Linked DNA regions of Canis lupus familiaris. The protein of the gene in region 2 purifies or fractionates together with the protein of the main gene of each other region. This does not show direct contact. Links are inferred from orthologs where the notes say so. Each region holds a gene or a part of one and is shown on either strand. Other genes may lie near its edges.

What was found.
Region 1: the proteins of EEF1A2 (region 2) and EEF1G purify together in Homo sapiens (affinity purification with mass spectrometry; 4 studies listed by BioGRID and IntAct, counting the BioPlex papers as one, with this or other methods). This does not show direct contact. The link is inferred for Canis lupus familiaris from reciprocal best matches to the Homo sapiens genes EEF1A2 and EEF1G.

Annotation. Positions count from the first base shown.
Region 1 is NC_049239.1:54,583,077-54,589,352, reverse strand, and holds part of EEF1G (elongation factor 1-gamma), read right to left. Parts: intron 6,086-6,276; coding exon 6,022-6,085; intron 5,867-6,021; coding exon 5,724-5,866; intron 5,175-5,723; coding exon 5,031-5,174; intron 2,677-5,030; coding exon 2,547-2,676; intron 2,243-2,546; coding exon 2,038-2,242; intron 1-2,037. UniProt on the Homo sapiens protein: Probably plays a role in anchoring the complex to other cellular components.
Region 2 is NC_049245.1:47,945,810-47,952,023, forward strand, and holds part of EEF1A2 (elongation factor 1-alpha 2), read right to left. Parts: intron 4,621-6,214; coding exon 4,441-4,620; intron 4,096-4,440; coding exon 3,799-4,095; intron 2,429-3,798; coding exon 2,278-2,428; intron 432-2,277; coding exon 175-431; intron 1-174. UniProt on the Homo sapiens protein: Translation elongation factor that catalyzes the GTP-dependent binding of aminoacyl-tRNA (aa-tRNA) to the A-site of ribosomes during the elongation phase of protein synthesis.

The DNA of each region.
Region 1 (6,276 bases), on a different chromosome or scaffold from region 2:
GGATCGAGTCCCGCATTGGGCTCCCTGCATGGGGCCTGCTTCTCCCTCTGCCTGTGTCTGTCTGTCTCTCTCTCATGAATAAATAAACTCTTTAAAAAAAAAAAAAAGTACCTGAGCCTAAGAGCTACACTCCAAGTTGCTCCCCAATTGGGGAAACAGCAGCTCCTACTGTAACCGTCTGGTGCTAGGATGCTTGTCATTTACAACTCTCCAAACCCCTATTATGGCCACCAGCAATGTGTACCTTCATGCTAGTTTGTCCCATTAAAAACCATTACAAGGAGCACGTGGATGGTTCGGTCAGTTAAGCATCCAACTTTGATTTCCACTCAGGTCATGATCTCAGAGCTATGAGATGGAGCCTCGTTTTGGGCTCTGCACTCAATGGGGAGTCTGCTTCTCTCTCCCATTCTCCCTCTGCCCCTCCCCCTACTCATGCACACACTGTCCCCTTCTAAAATAAATTAAATCTTAAAAAAAAAATTACAAAATGGCAGAGGGTGAACTCTGTTGAACCCTAACAGACCAACTAAGAAAGGCTGGATGGCTTTGGGTGGGTGAGAAAAGCAGGGAGTGGGTGAGAAAAGCTGGGATCAAGGACTCTGTGAAGTGGCCACAGACAAGACAGGTCTCCTAATGCTTGCAATTCTAATGAAAAACCTAGGGCATTAGCTGATGATGTGAGTAGTGCTAGATGTCCTGCTTTTTTTCACACTGAAAAGTTTCCTTTTACTGTATTCTTTTCTTCCAAGAACCCCAAACTTCATTAAAAAGGTTGGCAGTGGATAGGGGTGACAACCGTCCCATCTATTTCCTTTTCTTTTAGGGGTTTAACTCCAGCAATCTGAGAAATAATGAAGCAGACAGGCACTATGGAGTCATAGTCATCCTCGCTTCTCAGAGAGAATGTTTATACTGCCTTCATCAAAAGGGTAAAAATATAATAAAACAACACTGATGTGGTGTCACTGCTTCAGCAAAGGCAGCCCAGCAGGGTAGACATGAGGCTCTCTGCACCTTCTTATATTAGTTCTGAGGACTCTCAAATCTTATTGAGCATACTTAAGACCAGTCTACCTCCACACCCAATTCTGTGCCTGTCTACATTCTTTGCTGGAAAAGGAGTTCTTATCTTCCCAAATACTAGATATATTAGAAATTTCATTTCCACTTTTAAAATTCATCCAATTCTTGGAGCACCTGGGTGGCTCAGTAGATTAAGTGTCTGCCTTCAGCTCAGGTCATGAGGTCAGGTTCCCTGCTCAGCAGGGATCCTGCTGCTTTTTCCCTCTCCCTCTGCCCCTCCCCACCCAGCTTATAGGTGTACACACACTCTCTTTCTCAGATAAATAAAATCTTTTTTTTAAATGCTTGTGTTTTTTTTTTTTAAGATTTTTATTTATTTATTCATGAAAGACACAGAGAGAGAGAGGCAGAGACACAGGCAGAGGGAGAAGCAGGCTCCACACAGGGAGCCGGACGTGGGTCTTGATCCTGGGACTCCAGGATCACACCCTGGGCCAAAGGCAGATGCTAAACCGCTGAGCCACCCAGGGATCCCCAAATAAAATAAAATAAAATAAAATAAAATAAAATAAAATAAATAATTAAAATAAAATAAAATAAATAAAATAAAATAAATAAAATAAAATAAAAAAATAAAATAAAATAATTAATCCAATTCTTGAGGATAAACTTTCCTTGCAAACAAAACATCTTTTTTTTTTTTTTAAGATTTTATTTATTCATGAGAATACACAGAGAAGAGAGAGAGAGAGAGAGAGAGAGGCAGAGACATAGGCAGAGGGAGAAGCAGGCTCCATGCAGGGAGCCTGACATGGGACTGGATCCCGGGTCTCCGGGATCACACCCTGGGCTGAAGGTGGCACTAAACCACTGAGCCACCCGGGCTGCCCACAAAACATCTTTCAATTTTGTATGGACAACCTAAAATAGCCCTAGCTGTGTGAGGGGAACACACAGAGGCAAAAAGTGGCCTTTGGGAGTCCCATGTCCCCTACCCCCCAATATCATTACCTCTTGGGCAGGTGAGCAAAGGGGTCTTTGGCCTTTGGCTCAGCAGCCAGTGCCTGCTCACATTCATCCATTTCCTCCTCAGGAGCAGGGGCAGCAGCCTTCTTCTCCTCTTTCCGCTCAGCCTGGGGCTTCTGCTTCTCTTCCCGAGAACCCTTCTCTTTCCGTGGGGTGTCTTTTTTAGGTTGGCTCTCTGCAAACTTTTTAGCTGGTGCAGAAAAAGGGAGAGAAGTCAATATCCTCCCTCTTTCCATATGCCTCTAAAAGCAGGCAGTGAGCAGGGTAATGGAGGAAAACTGCCGGGCAGGGAACTAAGGGATCTAGGCCCTGCACTGCTCTGCCACCAGTTCCCTGTATGTCCTGAAGCAAGAACACAACCCTCAGCAACAAATATACGTGAACCTTATTTGTGGGTTCACATAACCCAAAAGCCTGATGGGAAATCAAGGGACTGAGACTGAGCCAACCAGCCCAGAGCCAGGCCATATACTCCTGTATCTCCACAGACTTACCATCAAACTGGGCCATCTTCTCACAGAGTTTCACCTCCCCCAAGACAGCCCGGAACTGGGGCTGGTTAATGCAGGTAAGGAACCAGCGGTTGGTATTGGGGAAGGCCTGGCGGAAAGAAGGCTCCAGGACCTGTCAAAACATAAGGGTAGAATAGAAGCAAAGGAGAGAAAGTTCTTGAGGAGTTTCAAGCCAGAGACATTTCTTTCTACACCAAAGCTCCAATCTTCCTCTCAATCCCTGAGATGGGAGCTCCCTAGTATAGTATACCATCTTACCCTGGAAGGGTACTTCCCATTTACCTTCCTCTTTTTCACTATACAGTCCAACTCAGCGGATACTCGATCCCATCCCCTCATTTACTATAAATCTACTTGGTAGACACGTTCATATGGTGCCTTACATCATTTACAAAACCATTTCATCTACACGTCCAATCTTTCTTTATTTCTTTATAATCTTATTCATGAGAAACACAGAGGGAGAAGCAGGCTCCTCACAGGGAGCCCAATGCAAGACTCAATCCCTGCACTAGGGATCACACCCTGAGCCCAAGGCAGACGCTCAACCGCTGAGCTACCCAGGCGTCCCACATTCCAACCTTTTATTTTATTTACTTATTTATGAAAGACACACAGAGAGGCAGAGACACAGGCAGAGGGAGAAGCAGGCTCCATGCAGGGAGCCCGATGTGGGGCTCGATCCTGGGACTCCAGGATCACACCCTGGGCCGAAGGCAGGCGCTAAACCAGGCGCTAAACCGCTGAGCCACCCAGGCCTACCCATTCCAACCTTTTAAATGTCACGTGTCAGGGCACTCGGGTGGCTCAGTAGGTTAAAAGTCTGCCTTTGGCTCAGGTCGTAATCCCAGCATGATCCCAGCATCCTGGGATGAAGCCCCACATTAAGGCTCCCTGCTCAACCGGGAGCCTGCTTCTCCCTCTCCCTTTGCCCTCCCTCCCTGCTCATGCTGTATCTTTTTGTCTCAAAAAAATAAAATCTTAAAAAAAAAAAAAGTCATATCAATAAAACTAAAGCAAATAAATAAAAGGCAGGGCAACACAGCTACCAATTACTCGTTTTACTAAGTAAACCACAATTATCTACATGATATATACTATTCACCAAACTTCAGAAGCTAAAGAATATTCAACAGTCAAAAAAAAAAAAAAAAAAAAAAAAAAGGCAAAAAAGTACTTCAGAATAACAAACTGTCCTTTAAACTTAGCTTTGTAAAAAACTCATTTACCATCTTTTAGTTTGCTAAGATTATATGGAAAATAATCTTGTCAAGAAGACGGAACAGAGCGGTCAGTTCTTTGGCTCTGGTTCTGCAGTACTGGGTTCAAACTCTATGCCACACTTACTAGCTACATTCCCTTGGGCCAGGTTCCATTTCTCCTCACCCATACAGCAGGTAAAGATTAAGATGATCCCTGCAAGGCCCTTGACACAGAGCCTGACACAAAGGAGATGCTTTTTTATTTTCCAATTACTGCACTACTATTCTGGACCCATATTAGTCCAATAGCTGCTTGGTCAGCAACATGTCATCTTCTTTAACCCAAAAACCTCAAAACTAATTACTACCATGCTGATTTTATAGCTTACAGAGGAGAAAAAAAAAAAAAAAAAAAAGAACTCAAGGAATTCTCTCAAACACACACATCCCTCTACCTACAACTAGTAAGTAATGAAACTAAGAACTGAACCCAGCCTGCCTCCAAAAGATCTGGACACTGAAGCTACCAGACCTTCCTGTCTTTTTTTTTTTTTTTAAAGATTTTATTTGGGATCCCTGGGTGGCGCAGCGGTTTAGCGCCTGCCTTTGGCCCAGGGCGCGATCCTGGAGACCCGGGATCGAATCCCATGTCGGGCTCCCGGTGCTTGGAGCCTGCTTCTCCCTCTGCCTATGTCTCTGCCCCTCTCTCTCTCTCTCTCTCTCTCTGTAACTATCATAAATAAATACAAATTAAAAAAAAAAAGATTTTATTTATTTATTCATGAGAGAGAGAGAGAGAAAAGAGAGAGAGAGGGAGGGGGGGAGGAAGGGGGAGAGAGAGAGAGAGAGGCAGAGACACAGGCAGAGGGAGAAGCAGGCTCCGTGCAGGGAGCCTGACATGGGACTCAATCCCGGGACCCCAGGATCACGGCCTGGGCTGAAGGCGGTGCTAAACCGCTGAGCCACCCAGGCTGCCCGCCTTTCCTGTCTTTACAACTAAGCACAAGCACAGCTGGACCCCAAAAATACAGAAACAAACCACATCTCTTCTATCAAACAGAAACTCAGGAAACAGAACATTACCAAACTTCTCAGGAGGGAAGGTAGTCATGGTATTCAAACTTGGGATTCCTATAGACTAGTAGTTACCCGACACCCTTCACATCCAAGTCCTCAGCAGAATACAGGGTAACCTGGAAGACTTAATGGCTTAATTTCTAACCGCCCCCTATCCTCTGCCAACCTAATTCTTTATAAATGTCACCTGTTTATAGAGCCACAACAGGGTGCAGACAACTGTGATGTCAGCCAGTGTCACACGTTCGCCCACCAGAAAAGTCCTCGTCTTCAAATGAGTATCCAGGAGCCCCAGAATTCGCCTCACTTCCTCCTTTGCATTCTCTGTGGCCTATTGATTTAAAAGGATTCAAAACTTAATAGTGGATACCTATCCCTTTCCCTCTCCCCTCCAATGACAGACCTAAGGTAGCTATTTCACTTACAAAGTTCTGGCTCATCCCCATCTTCTTTCAATGGAGTCAGATTCCAGATCACTCCAAATGTATCACAAAGGAAGCTCTCAAGGTCAAATTTCCTCATGGTGCAGTCTGGATTAATTTCCCACTATATGACCTAGTCCTTTATCTTTGAATTTTAGAAGGAACCTTAGAAGTCACCTGATGTAACCACTCCCCTACCATTTGGGATAGCTTTTCTATAACAGAAATCTCTCCTCTGACCACTCATGACAGGCACCACCTCCAACTGGGTCTGTGTAACAAAGAACCCAGACACTATCAACAGCAGTGCTCCAAACTCATACCCCAAAGATTAGGTCTTTTATTATCCACAAATTCTTAGCATCTCCTTTTCTCAATCTATTTTATTTCTTGCTCCTTGACACTCAGGAGCTGATTTCATCCTGGGCCTTGGCTTCTCCCCAAGTTCCAAGGCTTACCTGCTTGTTGTGGTGCATGATGCCCAAGGTAGGAAACACCCAGGTACTGGCTGGGGGCACTATGTCGCTATCAGCAAAGCTCACCCACTGCACCACCTGGGCTGCTGCCTCTGGAGTATTTCCCCGCAGCTCCTCATTGCTCACTGCAGAGGCAGAACACAAAGGTCAGAACTTTGGGGTCAGGCCAACATCGATCCAAGTCCGTAAAAATTCTTCTCCTGTCCACTACAGCTCACCCTCATCCTCTCCTACCTCCTTCATTCCTGGTCTTCCCATTCCCACACCCACTGCAAATTACCATAGTAGGCAATGGCATTGCTCTCAAACACACAGAATCCATCGTCACCCTCAAATGCTGGAACCTGGGATAAAACAGTCAAAAGATAAAATTAAAAAAAAAAAAAAAAAAAAAAAAAAACGTTAGGTAAAACAATCAGGAATTACTCACCAGCCAATACTGGGATAAAGTTCTTACATAAGGCTGACAATCCTTACTAAGCAAACTACTGATATGAACTACTACAATCTGAAACTTAGGAACCAGAAATAAAAT
Region 2 (6,214 bases):
GCCTGGGCCCCCGGCCCTGGCGCAAACCCCTGAGCCTCGGTGGCCTGGTTGGAAGGCCAGGGTCCGGGTCCTCCCAAGCACCAGGCCAAGGGGCTGTCAAGGACTCTGCTAATGCCAGGCAGCCACGTCACCGGGGACAGCCCTGCTCCCGCCCTTGAGGGAAGGGCCGCCCACCTGGGAGGTGAACTGGGCAGCCTCCTGGGGTGGGTCGGACTTGCTGTCCCCACACACGTTGCCTCGACGGATGTCCTTGACCGACACGTTCTTCACATTGAAGCCGACGTTGTCACCAGGCAGGGCCTCGCTCAGAGCCTCGTGGTGCATCTCCACCGACTTCACCTCCGTGGTGATGTTTACAGGAGCGAAGGTCACCACCATGCCCGGCCGAAGGATGCCCGTCTCCACCCGGCCCACAGGCACGGTGCCAATGCCTGGGGAGGAAGGGGGGAGTGAGGGGCCGGTGGGGTGTAGCCCCAGAGATGGAGGGAGGGGATGGGGAGACCCCGCAAGGCAGACACGGGTTCAGACACAAGTGGAGGCTCCCCTGGCCCTGTCAGGAACAGAAGAGACTGAACAAGAGAGAATGCCCAGGAATGCCTGGGCAGGAGCAACAGGAGGGCGACATGGGCAAAGAGAGGCCTCTCTGGACCTGGAGTCCTACCCCTGCCCCAGGCGGCAGCTATCCCCTGGAGGGGCACTGTAGGGACCCCTCCCTCCCTGGACTCCCCTCCTGGGGAGGCGGCAGCAGCAGAGTGGGCGGATGAACAGCCCACCCGGGACTCCTGGCCTGGCTTTGCTGTTGCTGGTGTCGAGGGGAGCCACCCCCAAAGGGGCGGGTGCTCCACCCCTAGTCATGGACCTGCTGCACTCACGTGGCTGCCCAGTGGGTGTCTGGTCCCCCCCCCCCCCGCCCCGCATGTGTGGGGGGGAGGCTCCACCCCCACATCCCTGGCTGTGATGCGACAGAGACTAAGGCTGGTGGCTGTTCTGTGTGCCGGGTGAGTGTGTCACGCCTGCCCTGCCCTGCCCGTAGCCTCTGGACTGGGAGTCTCCAGCAGTGCCCCTCAGGGCCTTGTGCTTGTTTATGCTTGCCCTGTCATCTAATGAATAGATTTTCTTATGCCTGGAGCTGGACTAGATCGTGTCTCCCACAAGCCTGGGACTGTCATGGAGGGAGGGGACATGTGAGTTACCCTTGTGCCACCCACTCCTGTCACAGGGCTGAGTGCTTATCTGAAGGGAAGAAGACCCTGAAACAGATGATGGGTGGATGGGTGGGGGTGGATGGATGTGTGAATGGATGATACACAGGTGGATGAGTGGGTGGGCGGGTGGATGGACAGATGGATTGTGAGGGTAGACAGCTGTGTGAATCGACAGGTGGATGGATGTTTGAATGGATGCATGGACAGGTAGATGAATGGATGGGTGAATGGACAGATGAATGTGTGGGAGTAAATAGCTATCTGGACGGAGAGATGGATGGATGGATGGAGAGATGGATGGAGGGAAGGGTGGATGGAGGGATGGATGAATGGATGGAAGGATGGAGGGAGGGATGGAGGGAGGGAGGGAGGGAGAGAGGGAGGGATGGATGGATGGGGGATGGATGGATGGATGGATGGAAGGATAGAGGGAGGGAGGGAGGGAGGGATGGATGGATGGGGGATGGATGGATGGGGATGGATGGATGGGGGATGGATGGATGGATGGATGGAGGAATGGATGGATGGATGGATGGATGGATGGATGGAAGGATGGAGGGAAGGATGGATGGATGGGGGATGGATGGAGGGATGGATGGATGGATGGATGGAAGGATAGAGGGAGGGAGGGAGGGAGGGATGGATGGATGGGGGATGGATGGATGGATGGATGGAGGAATGGATGGATGGATGGATGGATGGATGGAAGGATGAGGGAAGGATGGACGGAGGGAGGGATGGATGGGGGATGGATGGATGGATGGAGGGAGGGAGTGGAGGGAGGGAGGGATGGGGGGATGGATGGAGGGAGGGATGGAGGGATGGAGGAATGGATGAAAGGATGGAGGGATGGATGGGGGTACATGCATATGTGGATGGTTGGATGAAGGGATGGAGCATGGATGGGAGATGGACGGATGGATGGATGGTCCCCAGAGTGTACAGCACTGGGGAAGAGGCAGATAACTTGGCCTCAGAAGCTCCTGTCAGGGGCCCTGGGCTCAGGAGCGGGGTGGGCGGGCCGGGTGCCCCCAGTGGAGCAGCAGGTGTCCAACACTGAACCCTCACTCACCACCAATCTTGTACACGTCCTGCAGTGGCAGACGCAGGGGCTTATCTGTGGGGCGTGTAGGGGGCAGGATTGTGTCCAGGGCCTCCAGCAGGGACACGCCACTGGCGTTCCCCTCCTTACGCTCCACTTTCCAGCCCTTGAACCACGGCATCTGGATGGGAAGAAGAAGGTATCCATTGGAGGGAGAGACCTCCTGCACCCTCGCTGCCCTACACCATAGCCCCACGGCCTCCCGGGACCCTCCAGGAATCCCGGTGGAGGTACCTGACCTGAGGGGGGCCTGGGGAGCAGGGGAGCACAGACCCGCCCTCTCCACTGCCCAATGTTCAGCTCTTTACCCACGTCCATCACGATGCTGCACGGCTGGTCCCCGCACCCTCCTCACCCCCCAGTTCACACTCCCAACATCACGGAAGCCTTGGAAGAGGTCGGGGAAAAGATGTGGAGCCCAGTCCCGCTTAGTCCCCCTTTCCTGCAGCCCTCGGACCCCCCGGGCAGGGCTGGCACCGGCGCGGGAAGGGCTGGAGGCTGGCCAGCGGCCAGGCCAGAGGCAGAGAGTCCACGCGGCCCCCAGCCACTGTGCCAACCGTCTCCGGGCCCGGCTGGCCCTTCCCTGCCCAGGGCTTCCCGGCAGCAGACCCAGCACCCTCCTGGCATGGAGCCCCCCGGCCCGCTGGCCACGGGCAGGCAGAGGCGAGGGGCCGGCAGCACCGCCCAGCCCGCCCGGTGGGACTGGGTCCTGTGGGGGGCACAGATCAGCAGCCAGCTCCCCGAGCAGCAGGTCAGGAACGGGACACTCTAGGGTAGGGCGCCCTGTCCGCCTCCCGGGAGGGTGGGGAGTGCAGTCCACTCACCCATCGCCACACGACAGCCGTGTGGGACCCTCACCAGGCAAACCCGCAGCCCAGCGAGCCGGGGGCAGGGTCCCCAGCCTCGTCCCCTGACCACAGGGCTCCAGGACAGTCCCCCTGGCTCTTCAAGGGCCCCTCCCCGCCCGCAGCACTGGCCAGAGCAGACGGCCGCCCTCCTGGGCCAGGCGCGTCCTCTGGCCCCACTGTCCAGGCACCTGGCCTCAGGCTCTGAGAATTCCTCACCTCCCCAGTCCCCGCGCCGCAGGCTGCCCGAGCCACAGGCTTCCCACCCGGCCGGTGGAGAGCGAGCCCTCGGCCCCTCCCAGAGCCTAACCTGCCCGCGCCCGCAGAGGCTCCTGGCAAGGTGAGGACGGGCCGGGCAGAGCCCCCAGGCACCGAGCACCGGGCCTCGGACCCGGCGGCACTGCTCCCGCGCTCCCCGCCGGAGGGGGCACCCCTGGCCAGGGAAGGGGCCTGTGCCGGCCTCGCGGGGCCACGAGGCCCGCGCCCCGAGCACGAGCCCCACGCGGAAGCGAGCGCAGCAGGGCGGGGCGTGGATGCCCGGGGGAGCCCGGGTCCTGCCCGCGCCTGGTCCGCGCCCGGGCCCGGCTCTCAGGGAGGGGTCCCCGCAGCCCCGCGCCCACCCGCCCGCCCGCCCGCGGGCACTCACGTTGGGCGAGGGCTCCAGCATGTTGTCCCCGTGCCAGCCCGAGATGGGCACGAACGGCACGGTGGCCGGGTTGTAGCCGATCTTCTTGATGTAGGCGCTGACCTCCTTGACTATCTCGTCGTAGCGCTTCTCGCTGTAGGCCGGCTCCGTGGAGTCCATCTTGTTGACCCCCACGATGAGCTGCTTCACGCCCAGCGTGTAGGCCAGCAGCGCGTGCTCGCGGGTCTGTCCGTTCTTGGAGATGCCCGCCTCGAACTCGCCCACGCCCGCCGCCACGATCAGCACCGCGCAGTCCGCCTGCCCGCAGGTCGCCGTGAGCCCGGGCCCCTCCAGGCGGTCGCCCGGGGGTGGGCCCCAGGGGTCTCGACCAGGGGCAGCAGCAGGGCCTTGTCCATCCGTGCGGACGGCCGTCTATCTGGGTCCGTGTGTCTGTCTGCAACGGCGGCCCTGACCCACAGTCCCTCCCGGCCCCTCTGCCTGGCTGAGGTGACGGGCACCTAATCATTCTCTGGGGGCGGCTCTGTAGCAGGTGGGGTGGGGGGTGCCTGCCCTGGCAAGGAAGCGGAGGGAGCCCAGCCACCCCTCCAGGACCCCAGGGCCCTGGCCCCTCGGGTCCCCTTGGCCCCCCACAGCCCCGCCCACCTGGGATGTGCCGGTGATCATGTTCTTGATGAAGTCACGGTGGCCGGGGGCGTCGATGATGGTGATGTAGTACTTGGTGGTCTCGAACTTCCAGAGGGAGATGTCGATGGTGATGCCACGTTCCCGCTCCGCCTTCAGTTTGTCCAGCACCCAGGCATACTTGAAGGAGCCCTTCCCCATCTGCACAGGTGGGGCATGGCTTAAGGAGGGACCCGGGACTCAGCCCGCTGGCCACGGGTCCCCCTGGGCCACGGGAGCATTCGCAGCAGAGGCCTGGGTGCCAGGCTCCCTCACTCCCCACGGGGCCCTAGGGCTCTGATCGTCTGTAGAATGAGGGAGCCAGGAGCAAGGACCCTGAGGGGCACCCAGACCTCAGCCCTGCCCTGCCCGGGCCCTGCCACCCGGTGTCCCCGGCTCCTGCCCTCTAGATGGTTGCCATTCGGACGTCCTCCAGGAGGTGGCGCAAGGGCCTGGGAGCCAGGCTTGGAGAGAAGCCACCAGGCCTTTAAACCCCTCCCCTGGCTGAGGGCTCCCCTTTTTCCGCGCTGGCCACCCCCAGCCCCGGAGATCCCTGCATGAACCGGAGGCCCACAACGCCACCGTCAAGGTGTCAAGCCCAAAACACAAAACAAAACCCTCTATGACGATTTTTTTTTTAAGGGAAAAAAAGGAAATTGGATGAGGTTGCATGGAAGGGCCTGGCTTTCCAGCTCTTTCTACAGCCAAGGCTTCCAAGTAGCTCTAAGGCTCCACCTGCAGACACCTGTGCCCAGCCCGGCGGAGACCCCCATACCCTGGGCCAGAGCTGAGGCTGCTGCCCAGCAGGACAAAACCCCCGCAGGGCTGTGCATGGACAGGGCTCTGGCCTCCAGGGAGGCTGCCCAGCCAGGAGGGCCACCCAGACAGGGCCCAGAGGGGACCCAGCGAGACCTGAGCCAGGCATCCTGCAAACCCCCACAGCCTCCGCCAGCGCCAACCCCGCATGGAAGGAGGGAGTGACGCAGCTTTTGGGCTCAGGCGCGGAGGGAGGCCGCCCAGCGCAACACCCACACACTCACTCTGAGCAGGGTCAGCCCAGGCCGGCAACTGAGGCCTCCTGGGCCCAGGCCCCAGCCCCTGTCATCCAGGAAACACCCTCACGGCCACCCAGACGGGGCCTCTCCCGGAGCCCAGGGGTGGGGGTAGAGGCTGCAAAGGGCAGACACCCACTCCGTGGTCACTTCCCACCCACCGGCTCGGCCACTTAAGAGAAAGGAGGTCAGTCAACGGGGCCCCCATCATTGTCACGAGGCACAAGAGGCAACCAGGACCCCCCCAAAAGAGCTCCACCCTGGACGAGCAGCCCTCCCCAGCCCAGCCTGAGAAAATGGAGCTGATGGGCTGGGTGCCCATCAATCAGCTATTAATAGCCGCCCTGAGTCCTGGCCCAGCCCTGGGACAAGTGAGGGCATCACCCCCTCAGCCCCGGAGACACAGGAACCCCACGCGGGTTCCAGGGTGCTCCACCCCAACTCGCCAGAGGTTTCCAGAGCCAGAAAGGCTGCCCCCAGGGCACCTCCCTGACCCGGAGGCCCCTCCAGCCGGCCGGCCCTGCCCCACTCCAAGCACATCCCCTGGGAGGCTGCCCCCAGGGCCCCCATCCCTCAGGTACTGGCCCCCAGGCAGGTCCTTTAGGGCTCGTGCCCCCTCGTGCCCCCTCGCCCTGGGGGAGGTCAGCGGAGCCTCATGCCCCAGAGTCACTGAGCGCCAGCCCGGCCACCACGTGGGGCCGACC